3 linked regions of the Notamacropus eugenii genome follow. The protein of the gene in region 3 purifies or fractionates together with the protein of the main gene of each other region. This does not show direct contact. Links are inferred from orthologs where the notes say so. Each region holds a gene or a part of one and is shown on either strand. Other genes may lie near its edges.

Evidence for each region.
Region 1: the proteins of CPSF3 (region 3) and FIP1L1 purify together in Homo sapiens (affinity purification with mass spectrometry; 5 studies listed by BioGRID and IntAct, with this or other methods). This does not show direct contact. The link is inferred for Notamacropus eugenii from reciprocal best matches to the Homo sapiens genes CPSF3 and FIP1L1.
Region 2: the proteins of CPSF3 (region 3) and UBE3D purify together in Homo sapiens (affinity purification with mass spectrometry; 4 studies listed by BioGRID and IntAct, counting the BioPlex papers as one, with this or other methods). This does not show direct contact. The link is inferred for Notamacropus eugenii from reciprocal best matches to the Homo sapiens genes CPSF3 and UBE3D.

The regions. Positions count from the first base shown.
Region 1 is NC_092877.1:104,813,747-104,821,499, reverse strand, and holds the start of FIP1L1 (pre-mRNA 3'-end-processing factor FIP1), read right to left. Parts: upstream 3,069-7,753; 5' UTR 2,776-3,068; coding exon 2,691-2,775; intron 1,578-2,690; coding exon 1,538-1,577; intron 1-1,537.
Region 2 is NC_092873.1:155,792,761-155,800,853, forward strand, and holds the start of UBE3D (E3 ubiquitin-protein ligase E3D), read right to left. Parts: upstream 3,082-8,093; 5' UTR 2,831-3,081; coding exon 2,775-2,830; intron 2,624-2,774; exon of another isoform or gene 2,590-2,623; intron 2,570-2,589; exon of another isoform or gene 2,252-2,569; intron 1-2,251. UniProt on the Homo sapiens protein: E3 ubiquitin-protein ligase which accepts ubiquitin from specific E2 ubiquitin-conjugating enzymes, and transfers it to substrates, generally promoting their degradation by the proteasome.
Region 3 is NC_092872.1:549,754,429-549,761,606, forward strand, and holds the start of CPSF3 (cleavage and polyadenylation specificity factor subunit 3), read right to left. Parts: upstream 3,068-7,178; 5' UTR 2,819-3,067; coding exon 2,769-2,818; intron 2,183-2,768; exon of another isoform or gene 2,048-2,182; intron 1,961-2,047; exon of another isoform or gene 1,844-1,960; intron 1,048-1,843; coding exon 984-1,047; intron 86-983; coding exon 1-85. UniProt on the Homo sapiens protein: Component of the cleavage and polyadenylation specificity factor (CPSF) complex that plays a key role in pre-mRNA 3'-end formation, recognizing the AAUAAA signal sequence and interacting with poly(A) polymerase and other factors to bring about cleavage and poly(A) addition.

The sequences.
Region 1 (7,753 bases), on a different chromosome or scaffold from region 3:
GATTCAGATGACTAAATCAAAACTAAGAATTTCAGTCTTTCAGGTTCATGAATGAACAATGATCACCTTTATCAAATAGTATAATTAGGTTTACAAACTTAGCAGCACTAATCTAATGTTAACAAAGGACTGTACCTCAGGAGTCCTTTCTCAAAATATGATTACTGCAATAATAAGCAAAGATTGAAAACAATTTAGTCTAGATTAATCAGAACTGATATGGGTAGTCTTTAACTTAAGAATGGGTTGCCTTTTATAAGCTTATAAAAAAAGCTGGAATACATTTTCCCATAGAAATTGAAAACTAATAAGATTCCAAATTTTGCTCCCAAAAATCTACTTAACTCAAAATGTAGGCAAACTTTGATATTAAAAAATATTAAGGAGTCCACTTTTATGTAGTGATTTTTGGTTTATAAGTACTTTTTCCAAAAAAATCTCTGTAAAGTTGGAAGAACAAGTATAAATACCTTCATTCTACAGAAAAGGAAACCAAAGCTTCAGGAAGGTTAAATGTCTTGCCCAAGGTAACAGAACTACAAGTGTAGGACACTTTTCAACCAAGGTCTTCCAACTCGGATATCTTGCTCTTTCTACTATAAAGTTTTAACATGGCAGTCTAGGAAGGCGTTTAAGTAGTAAAGGCATTACATGAACCAGTCTCCTAAATCTTCTCAGTGGTCTGTCTCTTCTGTATCCAGAAATTCTCTATAAGCTGAAATTCTTTCACACTGATCTATGGACTTAGTGGAGAAGAGGCAGGGCAGCATATAGATGGCAATTTGTTTATATAGGATGATGGTAAACTGAATTTTTATAGACTGGAGATTTCTTGTATATTAATTCAATAAAAGGTAGCCACACATTCACCCAAGCACATCAAACAAACATATACTCTACTAATAAAGCATTAAGCCATTTAAACAAATTGGGAAGGGGTAATTTTCCTGGCCACTGTATTATTACTATACTAGTTAGAACTTTAGAAAAGCCTAAGGAATGTATAAACTCAGAAAATTCCCCATTTGGCACATAGTTTTACTGAATCACTGTAAGGTAGTAAATAGTAAAAAAGAAAAACAAAAAAAATGTGAAAATAACAAAAATACCATGTCCTAAGTTTTTAGCATCAGAAGCAGCATGGCACAAGGCACATAAGCTGACCGAGCAGTGAAGGTAACTTAAAACATACTGGTTGTGTGACTTCGGAGCTCATTTAATCTCTCATTACTCTAGGAAACTCTAAGACTACAGGTTGCAGAGAAGATAGGAGCTTGTGTTGGCAGAAGGGGTTTCCTCACACAAAAGTTCTCAATATCCACGAAATCATAGGTTCAGTCTCTATCCCCAAGCACCTGACAGAAACTAGAAAATTCTTCTCTCTATTTTAGAAGCAGGTCCTTAAAACCTTAATCAACTACAGATTTCAGCTTAACCTTGATCATCACATATAAAGTCCAAATTCCTAACTATAAACAATGGTAAGACTGGCACCACTACATAATCAGTACCGCTATCAATCGGGAATTTCACTAACCTGGCATTTTCTTCTTCTGGCCTTTCAACTTCATTTTCATCTGTCAAGAAAAAAACATAAATGAATTGTCAACGAATCTTTAAAACTGGAAGCACAAATACTAACCCAATCTTTCAAAATTCACCCTGTATGTCACAGACAGCTGTTTCTTTTTTACAAATATCTAAAAATCTGCGGCTTTTAGATTTTTCAAAAATAGAAAATTTGACCTTATTTTTATATTTTAAGTTAAGTTTCTCAGGCGTTGGAGTCTCAAAATCTCATTTAAAATTTATTTAATGCTATTGATATTGTTCCTGGCACACAGTCTAATTTTGGTCTCATTAAATGGATGCTTGGTACAGCCTGGTATCATCTTATTAACTATGCAATTCCAAGGCCGTGACCGTGTCCGGAAGTCACTCGGACATGTCAAACATCCGTCTGCCTGATCCAGGCCAACAGCATCCAAGACAAGGTTAGACTCTCAGAAAATCAGCAGGCGAAACGTGACTACAGGAAACGTAAACTAAGGGATAAGCTGAGGTGTCTGGAGGACACGTCAGTAGGAGGCGGGAGGCCAAGCCCACGCACCCCACAAACACTTATTGAGTAGCTTGTAACTCCGCGCGTGGGGCTCGTGAGTTCCTCGGGTGATGCGCTCAGGTTGTCTGGCTACATCCAGGGCTAATGGAAAAAGACCAACAACAAGCAAGTCGGGCTCTTCGCGGGCCCTGAGCCACCTGGTCCGTCTGCGACGGACGTGCCAACAAGTCCCCCGGCTTGCCGCCACTTGTTTTATTTCTGGTGGACTTTCTAGCATCACCACGGCCGGGGAGAACACGGCCCGAAGGGGCCCGGAGCCCAGCTCCGGCGGCCGCGGCGCTCAGGGGCTCGCACCCCAGGGGGCGGGCAGGCCGCGGCCGGGTCCGGAGCTAGGAGCCGGGGCCCCGGGGAGGCGCGGGTTGCGGGTGCAGAAGGAGGAGCTCCCGAAGGGTTTACGCGCGCGGCGCTCGGGCCTAGCGTCCCGGCCGGGGCAGGGAGGCCCAAGGCCCGGGGTCCGAGGCGCAAGCACGCCCGCCGCCCCCCGCTACCGCGGGACGCGGAAAGAAGAGGCCTGGAGCAAACCGGCGGAGGGGGGGGAGGGGAAAAGGAGCGACCCCGAGTTGCGTACCGCCATAGAGCCACTCTTCCTCCTCATCCCCACCGGTCCCGCCGCTCAGCTCCGACACCAGCCGCTCCACCTCCCCGGCCGACATGGCCGTCCGGGCTACGACTGGGAACAAATGCCGGGACCACCAGCCGGGCCTTCCCCCCGAGCTTCGCTTCCGATGGGGGAGTGTGAGGGCGCGGGACTGGGAACCGCACAGGAGCGGACCGAGGCGGCGATCACGATGACGAGCCCCCCTCCCCAAGCACAGGTTCGCTCGCGCACGCGCAGCCCGAACTCAGCGGCGCGACGCGAGGCCAGCCCAGCCAGGTACGCGTGCGCCTGCGTGCGCGCTTGCGCGAACGCGAGACAAGCGCCTGCCCCTCCCCCGCACGCTAGGAGAGGGTGGAGCTTCCTCCAGCACGATTTCCTGCCTCTCTGGGCATCCTTCCTCTCCTTCAGAACCCTCTCCCATTTTCACAGTCCTGACAGCTTCAGACTTCTCTGGCTTAGGTGTGCTTCCGCCCTGCATGCGTACTTTCCTCAGGTCCGCGGTTTTCTTTTTTCCTCCGTGTTTTTTTCCGCTCCATCTTCAGAAAAACGTCCTGTGTTAGAAAGGATACGGAATTAGCGCTGCGCCGGGCGCGGTGACCCCTTGGCTTTGGGGCACACAGCGATCCGGTTTGAGTTCAGTGAACGGTGCTAGACTTTTTGAGGAGGAGCCGCCCCCTGGAAAGGTCTTCCTGCTCCTTGTCGAAGGAAGTCAGGCTTTCTTCTGCGTGCCCATGGACAGGGGCACATCGTAGCGTCAAAATTGCTTTAAAATAATTTTGTAAAAGGAAGTTCTCATACTTTTTGTTGTGGAGCCCTTCTGTCTTCCTATACTAGCCCCTTTCCCAATTACCTGCCTGGATTATTTATAGGTATTCAAATCAAGTCAACGAGCCAAGACACTTCCAAAAGACTCAAGATGAAAAGTGTGATACGCCTACAGAGAGAACTGAAGAATTCTGACTGCCCAGTGAAGCGTGTTTTTTCTTTTTTTAATTTATTTTTTCACTTTATTTTTCCTGCTTTTTTTTTAAGGTGGCTAATGTGGAAATATGTTTTGCATGACTTCACAAGTATATATAATTGATATTGCTTGTGGGGGAAGGGCAAGAGGGATAGAATTTAAAACTCAAAATTTTTTTAAAAGGATGTTAAATTTTCAAATATACAGAAAAATAAAAGAAGTGCTTGTTTTAAGATTGTGTTGGCCCCTGGCCTACCTTCCAATTATCTCAAATGCTTCCCTGTTAAGAGAGATGTGTTGTTGTGTTCATCCTTTCTTTTCAAAGAAGACCATGCTGTCAGAGAAATTGACATGACTTGAAATTGACTTTGTTTTGAGTGAGGGAGGGCAGGTCACCAGCCTCACTTCTCCTCCAGAGCCATCTGGATCCAGTGACCAGATAGTCCTCAGGATGAGTGGAGATGGCCTAGGATTCAATGGGAGACCTTGGTCTTTTGCCTTTTCAGGTACTCACCTGGAGGGAGGTAATGCCCATTCAGTGAATAGGCCTCTTTCAGAAAGTAGTCAGGGAATGGCCCCTTTAATGAGCAAAAGAAAACAGAACAGTCAAGTTAGGAGGAAAAAAGAAATTGGTACTGTTGATAATCACTCTAAGCCAGCTATGTAGTGGAGCTTGGGCAGGGACCTATTGAACAGAAAGAAAAAGAGAGAGGAGAGAGAGAGAGGGGAAGGAAGGAAGGTAGGAAGGAAGAAAGACATGTAATCAGTAAACCTCAAGTTAACTGGACAGTCTATGGCCATCCAAATTTACCTTCCTTTGGAGAGAAGAAGGAAGGGGAGAGGGAGAAAGAAGAGGATAAGCTGAGTTACCCAGCTAGGTGGCTCTCCACTCAGGCAGCTCAGTCCACTTGAAGGTTGTGTTCGTCCTTCATTTTCGAAGACCATGACATTAGAGAAATGATGACATGACTTGAACTTGGCTTAGTTTTGAGTGAGGGAGGACTGTGCAAGGTCACTTCTCCTCCTGAGCCATCTGGATCCAGTGCTAGATATCACACACACACACACACACACACACACACACACACACACACACGTATGTTTGGGGGGGTGGGGAAGAGAGAGAGAGAGACTGCTTTTTTGTTATTATTTAAGACTGGCCTTTAAATTGTTTTTAACTTCAGTCCAAAATATTCATCAAGATCCCCAAGAGATCATAAAAATGGGAAAGGGTCCCACATGTACAAAAATATTTATAGTAGCACTCTTTGTAGTTGCCAAAAACTGGAAGTCAAGGGGATGTCCATCAATTGGGGAATGGCTGAATAAATTATGGTATATGAATGTAATGGAGTACTATTGTGCCATAAGAAATGATGAACAAGAAGACTTCAGAGAGGCCTGGAAGGACTTATATGACCTGATGCTGAGTGAAAGGAGCAAAACCAGGAGAACTTTGTGCACAGCAACGACCACAGTGTGTGAGAGTTTTTTCTGGTAGACTTGAAATTTCGTAATAACGCAAGAACTTCTTAAAAAAAAAAAAATCCCAATGGTGGTTCTCAAGGCAAAATGCCTTCCACACTCAGAGAAAGAAATATGGAAGTCATTCGCAAAATGTAGCAGATCATGTTTGTGTATGTGTATGTTTTTGTGTATCATGTTTTGATTTGTTATATGATTTCTTACATTTATTTTAGTCTGACTACATAGCATGACTATAGTGAAAATATACTCAATAGGAAAGTATATGTAGAACCTATACAGAATTATATGCAGTCATGGGGAGGGAGGGGGGTAGTGGGGGGGTAGGTGTGGGGGGGATAAAATCTCAATTGTATGGCAGTGATTGTTAAACATTAAAAAATAAAAAAAAATTAAAAAAATATTCATCAAGGAGTTAAGTAGAATGTAACATCATAGGAGATATATAAGAATCTTGAATAGCAAAAAGTGTTCTGCCTCAGTGATCATGTTGAGAAGTGTCAAAAATTGCCATGAGATTGAGTATTAAAAGGAGGAATATGTTTCCTCTTGGAGATGTCTAGTCCTTCTCCTCTAACCCCCAATACCTGCATCCCTACCTGTAACAAAACATGAATGACTGTAAGAGTTATTGTCCAAAATATATACTAGTAAGTTTGTCATCCACAAAATTCAGAATATAGTTAAAAACCAAAACAAACACTCTGTGATATAAGTAGGCATGGCAATTTTTCAGAAGAAGTCATGCTCTATGAACAAATTTCATTTTGAGGACCCTTCTGAATGTTTACATTTAGAGCTCCTTATTTTCTCTACATTAGAATGCTCTCATAACTTCCACTTCTTCTTTGAATGGCGACTTTCTTCATTTCCGCTCACAGGACACTGGGATGTGTATGTAAATCTGGTTCTATCAAGAGTCCAATTCCAATATTTCCTACAATTCCCAATATTTTCTCAATGTAACTATGAAAATTAATCCTGTGCAGGCAATGAATTGACTAACATAGAGAAGAATAAATGTAAGCTTTTCCTAGTTCTGTTTGTTCCAATACTCCTTCATAAGCACCATGAAAATCTGTTTAAAATTCTACTTGAGTACATGTAGGCTTTCCTTTCCTTATCTTTAGAATTTGCATTTTAATAATTCATTTTATCCATTTCCAACCTAGTTCTCTTAAAATGTTTTATCAAGTCCCCAGAATAGCTCTCAGTTAAATGACAGACTGATTAAGTCAGTTTTGTAAACAAGAAAATTGAGAATCAGAAAGGTTAAATTTATTTACCAAGATTCAGACAACCATTTAGAGGTGGAAGTCATAGACAATCTAGATTTTCCCTAGTCTTTATATTTGAGTTTATCCCAGTCTTGGCCCTTAAGCCATAAGCTCTTGAAAAGGCAAGGAACTGTGTCTTCTATTTAATTTGTAGCTTCCTACAATGCCTCAGAAAACGCAGTGAAGTATTTTATTCAATCACAAAAAACAATAATTATTGAGGACCTACTACATGCAAGGAAGTTTGTAGATTTAGTGACAGTGGTCAAGGTCTCAAACAAGAATCCCTGACCCTTTCCGGAAACTTAATTGGTGTATAGGATTTGACTGATATGTTCAGTTGGGTTATCCAGATTTACATATGTAAGTTTTAATGTTGATTTCTAAGTGGAAAATATTTCACTCAATCTCCTAATGGGGTGATGGCAAACTGCTAACGTTCATAAAGCACCTATAAGATAATCAGAGTGCTATAGATAAGTAAAGCAGAGAGTCTGCCCTCTAGGTAACTAGGGCCTTGTAGGAGGGTTGTTTGTTAGGAAAGATAGAGGAAACAAATAATTGTAACATAATAAAGATATACGATTTTTCATGTTATATACAAACTATGCGTGAAGGCAAAGAACTGTGCCTGTGTTCACATGCTTTTGTGTCTTTATGTATATATGCAATTAAATATTGTGTTTTGTTGAACTTTTAAGTATTATTCCTTGGGACAATGTGAGTTTTCTGCCAGGATAGCAAATCCCTTTATGAGTAGAATTTTGTTTTATTTATTATTTTACATCTTCTTGTTTAGTCCTACCATGGCACATCATTATGATGTGATAACCTAGAGGTAACCCTAATTTTTCTAAAAGCTGTACTAGTATAATATAGATAGATCCCTCAAACATAAGCCATTCTGTTGCTTGGAGATTGAGTTGGAGAGGAGTTCTGCACAGATTTAGTCACCAAATAATGAAGTGTGCTTGGTTTTTTTTCAGGCATATTTTTTTTCATGTATTCTATGGCATTAAAGGTATTGTAGTCAGAACTAATGGAGGGAATTATGAAATTTTGAAGTAATAAAACATTAATTTTAGGGACATCCCTCACCCTCAAAATGTCACTGGACAGTTTCACTTAGGTCTTACAGAGCACCAATGTACAATAGGAATTGGAATGGACCTTGATTTGGAAAAGAAAAAATAAGAGAATTTTTAAGTGCATGGGTGAATGACATCTTTTTTGGATGATTTCCATCACTTTTCTTACTGATTCTTATGTTTTCATGACTGAATCCTCTCACAGCTGCTCTTCTCCAATGT
Region 2 (8,093 bases), on a different chromosome or scaffold from region 3:
GGCTAAAAGATGTCAGAAATATAAAATTCCACTGTGCTTACTGTTACTTGATTATGAAAAAAATCATTTGATCCAACTATAAAGTCTCTCTTCCAACGAGGTGTCCCCTCTATATATACATACACAGTCCCAGTTTCATTCAAGATTCCTTAATGAGATGATACAATAGGAAAATCTATACGAACCTACTATGGTCTAGCACTTGAGAAACAAAGAGAATGAATAAAAAGTCTCTACTTGAAAAAGGCATTACTTTCTAATGGGGACCACAAATACATATATAAGTATATATAGAGAATAAATATAAAAAGAATCAATACAAAGTAGTTTGCTAAGAATAAGCAGTCAGGGGAGCAGGAAAAATTTCACATAGAAAAGGTGGTATCTAAGTTGAATCTTGAAGAAAGAAAGGAATCATATGAGGCAGAAGTCAGGCCTGGTGAGCATTCCAGGCACAGAGGGTAGCCAGTGAAAAGGCACAGACATGAGAAATAGCACATCATATCAGAGGATCAGAGAGAAAATTGGCTTGACTGAGTCATAGAGTACAGGACGGAGAAGAACATACGGGTCTGGAAAGATTGATTGAAGCTAGATTTTAAAAGCTAAACAGAAGAATTCATACTTTATCCTAGAAGCAATAGGAAATGACTGCAGTTAATTAAGTAAAGGTCCTTCAAAGAGTATAAGATAAAAGGTGATCGATTCCCTAGGGACAGTGAGTCTCCAGATATCAAACACTGAAGACCATCCTAAGAGATCCATAAGAACTCCAAAGAATTTGGCTTAACATCCACACAAGAAAAGCCAAGTGCCTATATTATAACATACAAGTGAAAAGATAACTTGTAAAGCTTACATGCATGTATATTTATACATGCACATGTATAATATGTATATGTATGCATATACGTATGAGAAATATGTAGGCACATATAGATCTGTATCTATGCAGTAGTATAAGTATGGATGTAGATATAAATATCAATGTGGATTATGCATCAATATATATGGATGGGATCAAAGTACCAATGGATAAGTTAAGCCCAGAATTAAACACAAAAGCAAGTCAAATTGCCTTCAGAAAATTACAAAACTCCTTTAATGATAGTTAACTATCACTGGATACAGTACATGAAATACAACTCTAAATAAATGAAAATAAATATCATAAAGAGGGCAACGAAAAGGCTTACGGTGGGTGTGATCAGGGGACAGCAGTCAATAAAAGGAAACTTAAAAAACAGAAGCAAAGGATGTTACCAGAGAAATATATATCTGAAAGATGGATTTGTCACATAGAGAATCTAAGAGAAAATTGATGAACAGCATGTATGTACAACAGCATCCTCACCATGTCAAGAGAAAACAAGGAAAGTACCTCTTTTCTTGCAAAGAAAACCTGGGCAGCTAGGTGGAACAGAGGAGGAAGCTCTGGGCCTGGAGTCAGGAAGACTCATCTTCCTGAGTTCTCAGATACACATACTAGCTATGTGACCCTGGGCAAGTCACTTAACCCTGTCTGCCTCAGTTTCCTCTTCTGTAAAATGAGCTGGAGAAGGAAATGACAAATCACTCCAGTATCTTTGCCAAGAAAACCCCAAATGGGATCATGGACACAGCTGAACAACAAATAAAACTTGTGCTTTCTTTCTTATTCAATTTGAAAAGGTAATGGAAAAATAGTGTACAGTTAATTTAAGAAGGCTGTCAAAATGACCACTGTAGTGGAAAGAATGCTGAATTTGGAGTCAGGAGACTTAGAGTATGTATCTTACTACCAGTGAAGCCTAGGGAAAATCACTTCCTGTGCCTCGACCCGTTTCCTCATCTACAAAATGGGAGGATCAAACAAGAAGAGGTAAGGTCTGCTTTGTTTCTATTAAGTGAGATTTGCCTTGGGACTGGATAGGTAACAAGGGTGAGGAGCACCAAAGGTGAAGAGGATACAGACACACCCTGAGACACTCATGCCACTCCTATTCAAAGGGCAATTTGGAAAAGCACCCACGGGTTAACTAGGTTAGTAAGGACTCAAACAGGTCAATAAAACACTGGCTTGGCACAGGATAGTTCTCAGATAAACTCCACTTTTTTTTAACAAAAATAAGTCATCTCTTCACAGAGCAAGTGACATGAGCAAATCAGAATAATCATAGGATTATAATAATTATTATAATTATAAAAATAACCATCAGTTTGTTTGGAAATATTCTAGAGATCGCCCAGAAAAAACAACAATGTATCACACCAGAGTTAACCTCAAAGGAGAATCGCGGACTAGGTCTAACGAAGAGGGCGGGGCTCAGGGTTGGTTAATTTCAGATAAAGAGAAGAGAAAGGGAAGGAAGGGGAGGGCGGAGGGAGAGACAAGGTGGCCAGGCCCTCGGAGTCTCCCCTAGCCGGAATGACGTCAGAAACAACTGCTCCCCGGCGCGTGCGCCTTCAGCAGGGTAGGCTCGCGCCTAAGCCTCCAGAGGCGTCAGCGAGTTGAACGTGCCAGGCTCTCCGGAGCTAGTACACAGTCTGTTGGCTCATCAGCCACGCGTCAGGTGTACCCCGCTCCCCAGCTAGGCATTTTACGCACACCTGCAGCCTTCTCCTGCCCAGTCACGTCTGCATCCTGGGGAAGAAGTGGGATGCGCTGGCTGGGGCCCGGGGCGCAAATCCGTGGACAGTCCACCCCGCCCCACCCCTCGCTCGGGCCCCCAGCCCTTTCCCTTGCCCAGCCAGCCGTTACAAAGTTAGGGACGGAGAGGTGGGTAGCTTTATACCGGATAATCAGCAGTGCGTTCTGCAGCCGCTTCCTAATCTCCAGGAACATATCCATGGCCAGCGCTCCCTGGCCTCTCTTCCCGCCAGGCAGTGACCTGGGGGAGGGGGAGTGTTGGGAAGGAGGTAGGGATACGGTAACTCACGCTGCCGCAGCTCAAGAGAAGCGCCGCCCGCCCCCACCGCCGGAGGAGGAGGAGGAGGAGGAGCAGGAGGAGGAGCAGGAGGAGGAGGAGGAGGAGCAGGAGGAGGAGCAGGAGGAGCAGGAGGAGGAGGAGGAGGAGCAGGAGGAGGAGGAGGAGGAGGAGCAGGAGGAGGAGCAGGAGGAGCAGGAGGAGGAGGAGGAGGAGGAGCAGGAGGAGGAGCAGGAGGAGGAGGAGGAGGAGCAGGAGGAGGAGCAGGAGCAGCGCACCGGGCGCTCAGCCCCATCCGGAGCAGCCTCTGGCACCGCTGGCCACCGCTGGCCACCGCTGCTCCCTGCAGCCCGGTCTGAGGACTCGCTAGCTTGGGGAGGAGAGCAGGGGCGAGGAGAGTGCGTGTCCAGGGGGCCAGGCGGGGCTGTGAACACCGAGGGGTTGAAGGAGTGAGCAGAGTGAGTGTGGGGGCTTCGTTCGTCTGACAGCATAGGTGACTCCTATTCGGAGTGGGCGAGACGTCTCATCCAAACTCTTCATTTCACAGATGGAAGAAACTGAGGCAGCCTGACACGGTGCATAGGGCTATAGATTTAAAGTCAGTCAAAAAACATTTATTTATCGCTGCTAGGGAGGCATCGTGGTAAGCCCCGCGGACACCTAGAAAGGCAAAAACGAGACATCCCGCTTTGGACTAAGCAGGTCCTTTAGTTTCAGTTTCTTCATCTGTAAAATTAATTATTTGGTGGCCTCTTCCAGTTCTAAATCTGTGATCCTATGAGGCCCAGAAAAGGATTTTGAGTGGGATCAAATAGCAGACAAGTTGCAGGATTCATGTATGTTTTCTCCCCGGGAAAAAATTACTATTTGGTTAATAATAGCTCATTTAATATGAAACGTTGTGGTTGATGATTTCCAGTAAGCAAGAGAAGTATTCTTATCCCCATTTTACAGATAAAGAAACTGAAGTTTCCAAGACGTAAAATGACTTGCCCAAGGTTATAATATCAGTAAAGGATCTGAACCAGGACTTCAGCCTTCAAGTTCAATCACTCCTTTCACTATTTTACACTATCTCTCACTGATTTGGTGACCACAGGGGTTGCCTATTTTAACCCCCTTATTTGACAGATGCACAGAGGCCCCATAGACATCAAGAGACTTTTCACACACACAACTAATGCATAGGTTACAAAAGTGGGTGATATCACCCCCTGAGGGGCACTGGAATAATAGGGGGAGCAGTAGTAGACTCCAGTGCAATTGGGGCGGGGGGGGGGGGGGGGGGCTTTGAATAAAAAATTGAAAAAAAATTTGAGGAAGTGGAAACATAAAGAAAGAAGAAAATTTTGAAAAACCATTTGTACGTTTCATATGTTTCATCTGTTGTGTAATAGTTAAAGTCGTAGTGATTACATTATTTTCCAAATAAATACACAAAATGCAAGTTATAACGGATCAGTGATAAAGACAGGTCTTAATAATCAAGTGCTGGCAGACCAGAAGTCCAGCATGCATTGGCAAGAACACGTGCATGGAATGATTTGTTTACAATACAATACTATGCTGGCAATACTGCATCATCAAAACTTCAAAACTTCAATGCAGGAAGAAATCACAAATTTACAATAATTATTAAATTTAAGATGCATCATTTCAAAAAAAATTTATATTTTTTGAAATGATGCAAATTTCCAAAAGAAAAAATCTGTTGAAGGGTTAAAGAAAGTATATTTCCAAGGAAGCACGGAGTGATTTTTTTTGAAAAGGGGAAAGTAAGCCAAATAAGTTTGGGAACTTCTGAATTAGGGGCAGGGCTAGGATTTAAACTGCAGGCTTCCTTACTGTTGGACAAAGCACTTAACTTTCAGAGGCACCAAGGATAAGAAGAGAAGCAGCTGAATAGGAAAAAAAAAGTATCAAATTTGTTATTCAATGAAACTAAAAGTTATTCACCATTAAATAAATGGTAAAAGATATATACAATTCTCAAAAGAAAAATTCCATACTATTAACAAATGTATTAAAGTGTTCCAAATCACAAATAATATGACAGATAACAAATCAAAATAACTCTGATGTTTCACAATCACACCCTGCAAGCTTGCAAAGACAACAAAAGAAAGGAAGAATCTATGTTGCAGGGGTTGTACACACTAGTGCATTGTGTCAACCTCCAGAGTTCAGTCTAAGAAAGACAAACAGAATTAGGTTATATGTATGTTTATTTCTCTTGAGCTGGCAGGCATACATGTGGAACTGCAGTTCAACCTGAACTTTGGGATTAGGCTACACAGATTATAAAGCCATGAAGCAAGGAAGTGCCCCTGAATAAGGTTTCCAATAAGCAAGACAGTGCCTCTTACTCAGGATGCCTGTACAACCTTAATCTAGTCTTGTGGTTGCTGAAACAGCAGGAGGATTTTTGGGTTCACTCATAGAACATCACAAAGGATTATTGAATTATTGGTATGTCAGTTCAGAAGGGCTCAAATTGTCTTCTCTGATTGGCCAGTCCAGGTTTTCAGCCTTCTTTGGGTGAAGAGGGGCTCAAGTGGGTCTCACAATTATTAGAGCTGTGATCATCACAACAAATTTTTGAAAGCAATTTGGAATTAAACAAATAAAGTGACGAAAAGTGCATACCCTTTACCCAGAGATTTCAGTATTAGGTTTATACCCCAAAAAGGCTATTGATAGTGAAGAAAGTATAGTAACACTTTGGGGGACAGCACAAACTTGGAAATACTGTCCATTGATTAGGAAATGGCTAAATTTTCTAAGGCTTCAATTTCTTCATCTTTCAAATGAAGAACTGGATTAGATAACCACTAAGATCATGAAGAGGTATTGTAATACAGTAGAATGAGCTTTAGACCAGGCATCTAGACTAGGACCACCTCCAGTCATCTTGATCTATATCTTGTCATGGGACACAAAGGGGTCCAGAGGAGAGAGTGAGGCTGGTGACTGTAAAAGCAATGACCCTGGCATACACAGGAGAGCCTACTATCACAGGTTCTTAGATCTGCATTTGTAAAAGGAGAGCAGCTTTTGAGGGATCAACAATCACTTTAATCAAGCACATGTATCATTCACTTAGTTCAGGGGAAAAAGTCAGCACCCTGAACTTCAGAGAAAATACAAAGAAATAATAATCAACAGATATGGCTTCCAACTGTCTGACATAAGCAATACAGCTTTAGCAGATGCGCAAAATCTCATCTGGCCAAACCAATACTTCCAGTCAATAAGGAAGTAAACCCTCACCTCAGAGTCTTTATACACTTTTTAGAGGCAGAGGGCATCACAACCCTTGAGAACCAGTGCCTCATTAACAAAAGGTGTGGCTTTCCTACAAATCTCCCCAGGCCTATTAATGGGTGGGGAAGATCTTCTTGAATCACATTACCAATCAGAGGCACTTGATCCTACTAAAACCAAAAAGGTATTTACCATGATTTTGCACAGCCCTCCCTCACTTAAATCCAATTTACTTGCAAGTCATGGCATCATCTTCCTGATATGATTGGTCCTCTTCCAGAACGAAGGACAGACAAAGACTAGGAGTAGAAAATAGCCTTTGAATACTACCTCCAACTCATAAAAGTCATGGAACTTCTGTAGGTCCTCTGTTTCTTCATCTGAAAAATGAGAATAATTTCTGTAGTACTTTCAGGGCCATGTGGTACTCAAATGAGTACTAATCTGTTTTGAAAACCATTAAAAATGTTACCTATTATTATCTCATAACTCTGGCAATCAGTGATTCCCCTAATGGTGCCCCTTGTACTCCATCATCCTATGGACAAAATCTTTGACAGATGGTCATCTAACCTCTACCCAAGTGTTTCCATTGATAGGGACTCCATTTAAAGAGGGAACTCAGCACAGTTTTTCTCCCCATTACCCACTAGCTATGCTGATTTTGGACTTCTCTGAAACTCCCATAGTGCTATCACAGGTAACTTCCCCCTCCTCTGGCTTTTCAGCTTCCTTTGGTGAGCTGTCTTTCCTTTCCTCCACCGTTCCCCATTAATGTGTAGACTCTTTGAGGGCATAGATTGTCTTTCTTTCATTTGTATTAGTTGCTCCATCAGTTACCACTGGATGCCTGACACTTACTATAATAAATGCATATTGACTACTGACAGGAAGATCACTGCACATTTCATTTTGGAATCAAAACCTATTTTGGTATTCATTAGGGTATATATGTCAAGAACTTCAGTCATTTTTCGTTTGTCTTTTAAGGAGTGGTTAAGACAGATAAAGGACAAAATACCAAAGCCCCATGGCTCAAGTTAAGAGAAAAAATGAATGAAGTAGAAAGAATAAAGAGCAAGTGACTAGCACAGATATGCTAAGAATGGAATGTTAACCTGAAATAAAGAAAACTGCAAAAACAGAAAAACCAGGGTCTTCTAATGGAGGCAAGGGAATTGCAATCCAGGGCCACCCGGCAGAATGGGTAGAGGTGGGGCAGGGTTAAATACACTTCAATAGGCAGGAAGTCCCATTGAAGGCACAGCCTGGAGAAGCAGTTTGAGAGGCTTGGTAGTGGTGCTCTTTTCTTTTTTTTTAATGGTTTCTATACTTCTCTTTTTCGAAGGGAATTGTGATTATCATATTAATCGATATGACATATCTAAATAATGATATGATAGATATATCTAAATAATAATTTAGATTTTTTCAGAGCTGTGTCTCCAGGTTTTCAAGTCAGAAGCTTACAATGCAGCTTGAAATGATTAATCAAATTCTTGACAATGCTCTCACAATCACTGCATTCTTTTACTTATGTACTTTAAATGACCCAAATCAAAGATTGTAGAACCTGTTCCTGTTGAAGAACTCTGGTCCTGTGCCCCACCAAATAATGACCCCTGGAGAGTTGAAACAATACTGTTCCCACAGGACTCCAGATCACCTGTATTGTGGACTTGTGGGCTTGTCATGGGAAATCATTCAAGCCTTGGAAATGATTGTTTGTAATCCACCTTCTCCTCCCCCTTCCCACTTGTGATTTATGTATAAAATCTCTGCCTTCACTACAGTATGGTGGAATTATGATTAGGAGAATTCCCAGTTTGCAAATCTGTTCCTTACAATGAAGCTAATTCATTAAATCGCTAAGTGATTACTGGCACTTTGTCTCTGGCCTGCTCTGTTTCATCATTCCCAGGT
Region 3 (7,178 bases):
GGAGATCAATCTCAGCAGGATCTATCAAATCGATGTACGGAAGGGCATCCATTCCTTCTAAGCCAGGATGAATTCCACAATCCAACTGTGAAAGAATTGGGAAAAAATTCATTAAAATATCTTTGAATAATATATAGTACAAATGTGTCTATGGAAAAAAATGTTTAAGTTGACATTAATTTGTCATGTTTAATATGGACAAAATATAATGGTGACAGATTCTACTCATCTATTTAATACTGACTTCTTAAAATAAATGCAAAGCTAGCTGTTTGTAAGACATTTATGATGACAGAGTGAAAAAATGTAAGTACTCAAGTAAGCACTAAGAAACTAAGTAACTTGTTCGTGGTGACACAGGAAGTATCAAAGGTGGACCCTGAACCTACTCTTCCCAAATGTCTCATTAACAGAATAGCAAATGAACCCTTCCAAAGAATCTGAGGATAATTTGGTAAAAATTTTCTTCATGGACATTAGACATCAGTCTGAATTTCTGATCTTTCGTCAATGAGGATCTACCCATAACCCATTAAAAAAACCAGTTAAGTCTACAATGTTTCTCTTGGAGGTGAGGCAGAATAAAGGAGCTAAGGCTTTGTTTCATGCATTCAGGTTAGACACTAACTTTGTATAATCTACCAACTTCTCTTGGTTGGAGAGGAAGGTTGGCTTAGTCACACTGTCTATCTTTTAATGTATTTTTTCACCAAATGTCTAGAATCCTGTTTGGAACCTTTGCACATAATTCCAACCCACAGAAGCAGAACTGACAACCTCTTTAGAATTTATTATAAAAAAGATAATTGGTTGGCAGATCTAGGTAAACATAATTTATTGCATTTATGAGTAGGATATTCCCAAAATTATGTTAATGCTTTTACAAAAAATAAAAATGACTGTTTTACATATTAACAGATTTATACTACATATGTGTATGTATATATATGTATATACACATATGTATACTTTACAATGATTACCATTATTTTTCTTCCTTTGAACTCCAGAATAATACATGATCTTCCTACTTCTTGTCCAGCCCCACTGTAAAAAAAATAACAAGAAACAAACATAAACATCTGTGCAAATGTATTAAGGCAAAATGTTAAAAGCAGCACAAAACTACACTAATAAATCAAACTATGCTTTCTCTCTGGGTTTCAGTTTCCTCATCTGCAAAAAACGAGGCAGGATTAGCTAACCTCTTTGGTCATTTCCAGCTCCAAAACTGTGAGTCTAAGAATGTGACTTCTCCACTTCTCTAAACTTCAACTCCTTGCCTTCAGTCTCAAAATATAATGAAGCCTTCCTTTATTCCAATACTAATCCCTCCACTTTTGCTGTTTAGATCATCAGTTCTAGCCTTCTTACACCTAACACTCAGTCCACTCCTAGCACCAGATATCCTTTGATCCAGTGACACTGTAATACTTTCTGTTCCTTGAACAAAACACACTAGACTTGGAATTTTCACTAGCTGTTCTTCATGCAAGGAAATGCTCTCCCTCTTTATCTCTGCTTCCAAGTACCAGATAAAATCTCACTTACAGGAAGCCTTTTCATCCTACCTTTTCCCTTCTTTATGTTTTTTCTGCACATCTGAAACTGACTGCCATCAAAATGCGCCTGCTGAAATCTCTCCCTTTCTTTAAGGCCAAATTTGGGTGTCACCAACCTATAATAATATCTGGCATTTATATAGGCCTATAGGGTTTGCAAATATTATCTTATTCTCATAACACTGTGAGGTAGCTGGTGCTATTGTCATCCACATTTTAGAGATGAGGAAACTGAGGCAGAAAGAAATTAAATGAAATGCTCAGGGTCACACAGCTATTACCTGAGTGATGCTACATTTTAACTCAGGTTTTCCTGGTGCGTTACTTTCCTCCTTCCACCTGGACGAGATTTCACCTTCCTCCGATTTCTTCTAGTACTCTGTCTGGATATTTCCTTCCTACATGGCATATTTTACCTAGCATCAGACTTATGTATAGATGCATGATTTCTCTAATTATAATCCAACTTCCCTACGGGCAGAGCCAGTCTAGCACCGTGCCTCACACATACCAGATCACAAACAATTGCCTTCTGTTTACATGTCTCTGGGGAAGGCAAGGACTCCTAACGAAAGACAAGGTACTCAATACCGAACAGAAACTTAACCAGCACTTGTCAGGTAATAATTGCTCGGATGTTTACAGTTCTTTCCGTATAAATTCTTCCTCTGGATTCTCAAAAAGAAACCGACCCTGTGAGAGGCGCGGAGTCAGAACCCCTCGCCTTCACGTGGAAGGAAACTCCAGCTCGGCCAACTCGGCGGGGGGGGGGGGGAGGTCTTTGGCCACCATGTCTTTTAGTCCCCGGTTCACTCGTGGATCACACAAGGCAAACCCTCCTGCCCGCAGGGGAGACAGGACAGAGAGGCCCTCAGAGCTCAGTCGGACGAGGGGTGGGGATGACAATGAACACAAAGGGATCTTGCGGCGCAGAGCCACGCAAAATAGTGTCAAGGCAAGTTTGAGGGAAAAGGCCCTGCCACCAGCGGTGGCCACGGAAGGGATCAGGGAGGGATTCCTGAGCAAAGTGGCTTTTAAGGAAGTGGTAGAGATCCGCAGGTGAATGAGGCCGAGCCCACAGGCGCGGGCAGAGTGTGGGGCTGGGAGGCCCCGCCTCAGGAGCCCCCGCGGCCTTCCCCGAGGCCTCCCCCGCCCCCCTCCCCGGGCTCGGCTGCGCGCAGCTTCTCCCTCCCCAGGGCTCCTTACAGAGGTCGGATCAGTAGCTGGTCGCTCTCCTCGGCCGGGATGGCCGACATCTCTGGGGGCAGGGAAAGGGATGAGGAGAGAGGGGGCCCGACGAGCCGCGACCACCACCACAAAGCGGCGACAGCGCAAAAACGCCCACCCCCGCTGCTCCCACGGCACTGCGACCACCACTTCCGGCGTCGCCGGTCTCGGCGCGAAGACGCTCAGGACTTTACTTCCGGTGCGGGCCAGACCCACGAGGTTTGGCTGCTTCCTTTCAAGCCGGGCAACGCGCGGGGCGGGGCTGGGAAAGGAGTTCTGCGCCTGCGCGGTGGGGATGGTGACGGAGTCGGGGGAGGGGTGAGATGAGAGGAAGGAAGGAAAGGGAAAGAAAAAAAAGCGGAGTGGGAGTGGCTGCCTCCGGCTTCTGGACTGAGACGGAAAACAGTTCCATCCCGGAGCCTCCACCCTTAGCGGTGGCCGTAGGTGAGGACCCTCTCCCCATTCCTCCCCGTTGCGCTGTTCTCTCTCTGTTTCTCCGTTGCACCTCGGCGCGGGCCTTCGGTTTCCCGCCTCCAGCGCCGCAGCCACACGCCAGCCTCCGTCGGCTTGGAATCGTGATTCCGAAGCTGGTCTCCGCGTGGGGGAGGGTTAGGTAGGCCTCTGGTTGCTATAGCGACCAGGAACAAAGGTGGGGAGCGATGGAGGGATGAGGAGAGGGGGGCGAAGGAGAATTGGTACCGCCCTCTTCCGTGGATCTGGGCGGTGGCCGCCGGACTCCGAGCCGGGAGAGACCTCCCGAGAGCCGGCCCGCCCCGCCCTCTCATTTTTACAGAGAAGGAAACTGAGGCTCTTGGGGAGAAAGCCCCCCCCCCCCGTGTTAAGTAGCCGAGCTGGCACTGGAACCTAGGAGCCGCGTGTCTTCCCTGATCCTCAGGGCCTCCGTGGCTGGGGCTCAGGGTGAGAAGGGGGTGCCCGAGGGTTCTGTGTGCTGGGGGGGGCGGTGAGAACCTGGAGGAAACGCTAATGATCACTGCTAGGGCCTTCTCGGGGATGTGAGGGCCCGCCGGGGGGAGGGGCCGTACACCCTCGGGTCCGCCGCCCAGCCTGCACGGACCGAGCGTGCCCGCCGGCCGTCCTTGCCCTCCCCCGGCTCGAGGAGGCCACGCAGGGCGTCCGCATCCACCCCGAATGTGGTGGTGGCGTCAGGGGCTCAGGCGTCTTCCCCGCTGCGTTCTGTTTCTCTTTTAAATCGTGTGCGTTGAAAGGTACCTTGGTGTGTCAGACGGAGACAGCTGTTGTGTAAGTTGTCCGCTTCGGACTTGGGCTCTTCTCCGGTGGAAGGCAAGCCAGGCTGAAGGGAAGAGGGTTCGTGAAGATGGTAGAATACGGCACCAGATTCACCCACAATTTAAAATAAGGCCTCCAAGTGAACTTTGAGAGTCAGAAAAAAATTGAACGGGCCATGAAGGAGCTTTGTAAGAATAAAGCATCATGACCAGATGGATTTACAAGTGAATTCTACCAAACATTTAAACATCAAATAATTCAAGTATTAAATGAGCTATTTGGAATAACAGAGGAGTCCTAGCAAACTCCTTTTAGGAAACTAATATGGTGCCAATATCTAAACCAAGAAGAGCTAAAACAGAAAAAGAAAATTGTAGATCAATTTCTTTAATGAATATGAATGCAAAAATTCTAAATAAAATATTAGCCAGGGGATTACAACAACATATCACAAAGATTATACATGATGCTAGGTTGTGAAAGACCGGACCTAATCATTTGTCTCTTTCTTAGAACAAATCCTGGTGTTGGGTTTTGGGGTGTACAGGAAGAAGGGGCTGAGGAAGGCTATGAGTATCCAAGAAAATGATTATTTAAAAAATTTTCACAGGAGTAGGGGAAGAGACTTTGTTTTACAACGTGTCCTATAACTGTGTCTATGAAGGTACTATTCTGTAGCCTTCTCTGTATAGCTTTGTTTCTTTGCCGAGGATTTGTGTTTACCCTATTCTTAGTGACTTCCTTGCAGCTATGATCTCTGGATAAACATCACTTGACCTATCATTCCGAATTGTTTTGTTGGATTGTGCACTTTTATCATGTTTTCCTTCGTAGTCTGCTGTTGGAATCTCATAGGGTAGATTCTCCAGATTCATTTCGGTGTTTCAAGAGTCTCTGGTTCCTGGTTATGGGGAACAAAGGGGAGGGGTATCTGAGTGAGACAAAAGCCAGGAGCACATCTTCCCTACCTCTCAGTTAGCTTATTTAATTTCCCTTCTTTATTTTTAACCGAGCTAAAAGTCATCACCAGCACTACCTTCCCCTGAGGGCATATTTCCTAATTCTTGCCCCAAACTGGTTTGTTGTAATGGCCAGTGGGGTCTGCCTAGGTACACACCACCTCTAATCTTATTACATAATAGTTGTGTAACTTTGGGACAAATCATTTCATTTCTCTTGGCCTTAATTTCTTCCTTTGTCAAATGAGAGGATTGAACTAAACAATTTCTAAGATCCCTTTCGTTTCTATTTTTTTTAAATTTCCTTTCTCTCCCCAATGGGGTGGACCCATGGTAAAGAGAAAAAGTAGATTTGTGTTCATCTAAAAAAAGGAGGATGATTCAGAAGTGAAATGTTACATGTACTTTCAAATGTCATTGTATCATTGGTTTTACTTAACTGTTTTACCATGTTCTGAGAGACTTCTCATGACGTGAGAGTAAATTGTAAATATATGTAATATAAACACAAAGTACATCAAAAAGTCCAAAAGTGACCCCCCCCAAAATCCCATGAATCTAATTACTACTATTAAAGAAAAACTCTTTAAAAAAATAAAATTTTATTGATATATTTTGTTTTTATGTAACCCACATCCACCAGTTATATGCATCTCCTTTGCCCTCCCTCAATAGAAGTGTTAAAAAAAAAAAAACTGTACATGGTGACCAAATGGGATTTGTACTGGGAATGTAGGGATAGTTTAACATAAGGAAAACTATTAATATAATTGATTATGTCAATAACAAAAGTGACAAAAAGAATATAATTATATCTGTATTTGCTGAAAAAGCTTTTGACAAAATGCCACACTCATTCCTATTGAAAACACTTGAAAGCATAGGTATAAGTGGATTTTTTCCTTAAAATGGTAAGAAGTATTACCTAAAACCATCAGTAAGCATCATTTTTAATCTGGGTAAGCTAAAAGCCTTCTCAGTAAGATCAGGAGTGAAACAACGATGCCCATTATCACCAGTATTATTCAGTATTATATTAGAAATGCTAGTAAAGAGCATTTAGAGGAATAAAAGAAGTTGAAGGAATCAGAATGAGCAATGAAATAAAGCTGTTTTTAAAGATGAAAGGATGATATACTTGGAAAATCCTAGCAATTCAATTAAAAAGTTAGTTGGAATAATTATTGATTTTAGCAAAGTAGCAAGATTTAAAATAAACCCACGTACATCATCAGAATTTCTTTATATCATCAACAAAAAGTGCAAGAATAGATACCCCACTTAAAGAAATTGTAGACAGTACAAAACACCTGGGAGTATATCTACCAAGAAAAACCCCAAAAGTACATGAGCAAAAGCATAAAACAGTTTTTATACAAATAAAGTCAGATTTAAATGATTGGAAAAATATTAATTGCTCCTGGGTGGACAGAGCCAGTATAATAAACATGACAATCCTACCCAAATTAATCTACTTATGCAATGCCATTTCAATTAAATTACCAGAAAATTATTGTGTTGAGCTGTAAAAAATAATAAAATTCATTGGGAAGAACAAAAATTCAAGAATATCAAAGAATTAATAAAAGAAAAACATGGAGGAGGCTTAATGATACCTGATCTGAAACTGTGTAATAAACTATATAGTAAAGCAATAAATCAGAACTGTCCTGTACTAGGAAAAGTGGATGAGTGCAACAGAGCAGACATGCAGTACTCAGTGAATGATCAAAGTAACCTTGCGTTTTGACAAATGCAAAGATTTAAACTTTTAGAATAAGTATTCACTATTTGGTAAAAATTGTTGAGAAAACTAGAAAGCAGTCTGTCAAAAATTAGGTGCAGACAAATATCTTCTGACATTTACCAAGATAAGGTCTAAAATGCATACAAGACCCTGATATAAAAGGAGATGTCATAAGAAAATTAGAACAGGGAACATAATGCCTGTAAGACTTATAGAAAGAAGAATTATGAACAAGAGATAGCATTTTGATAATGTGAATTGAATAGTTTTATTTTGTTACATTTAAAAGGTTTTGTACAAATAAAATCATTGTAACCAAGATTAGAAGGAAAGCAGAAAATTGGGGGAAAATTTCTATAGGCAGTTTATCAGGTAAAGACCTCATCTCAAATATATAGAGAACTTTATCAAATTTATAAGATTGTGAGTCATTCT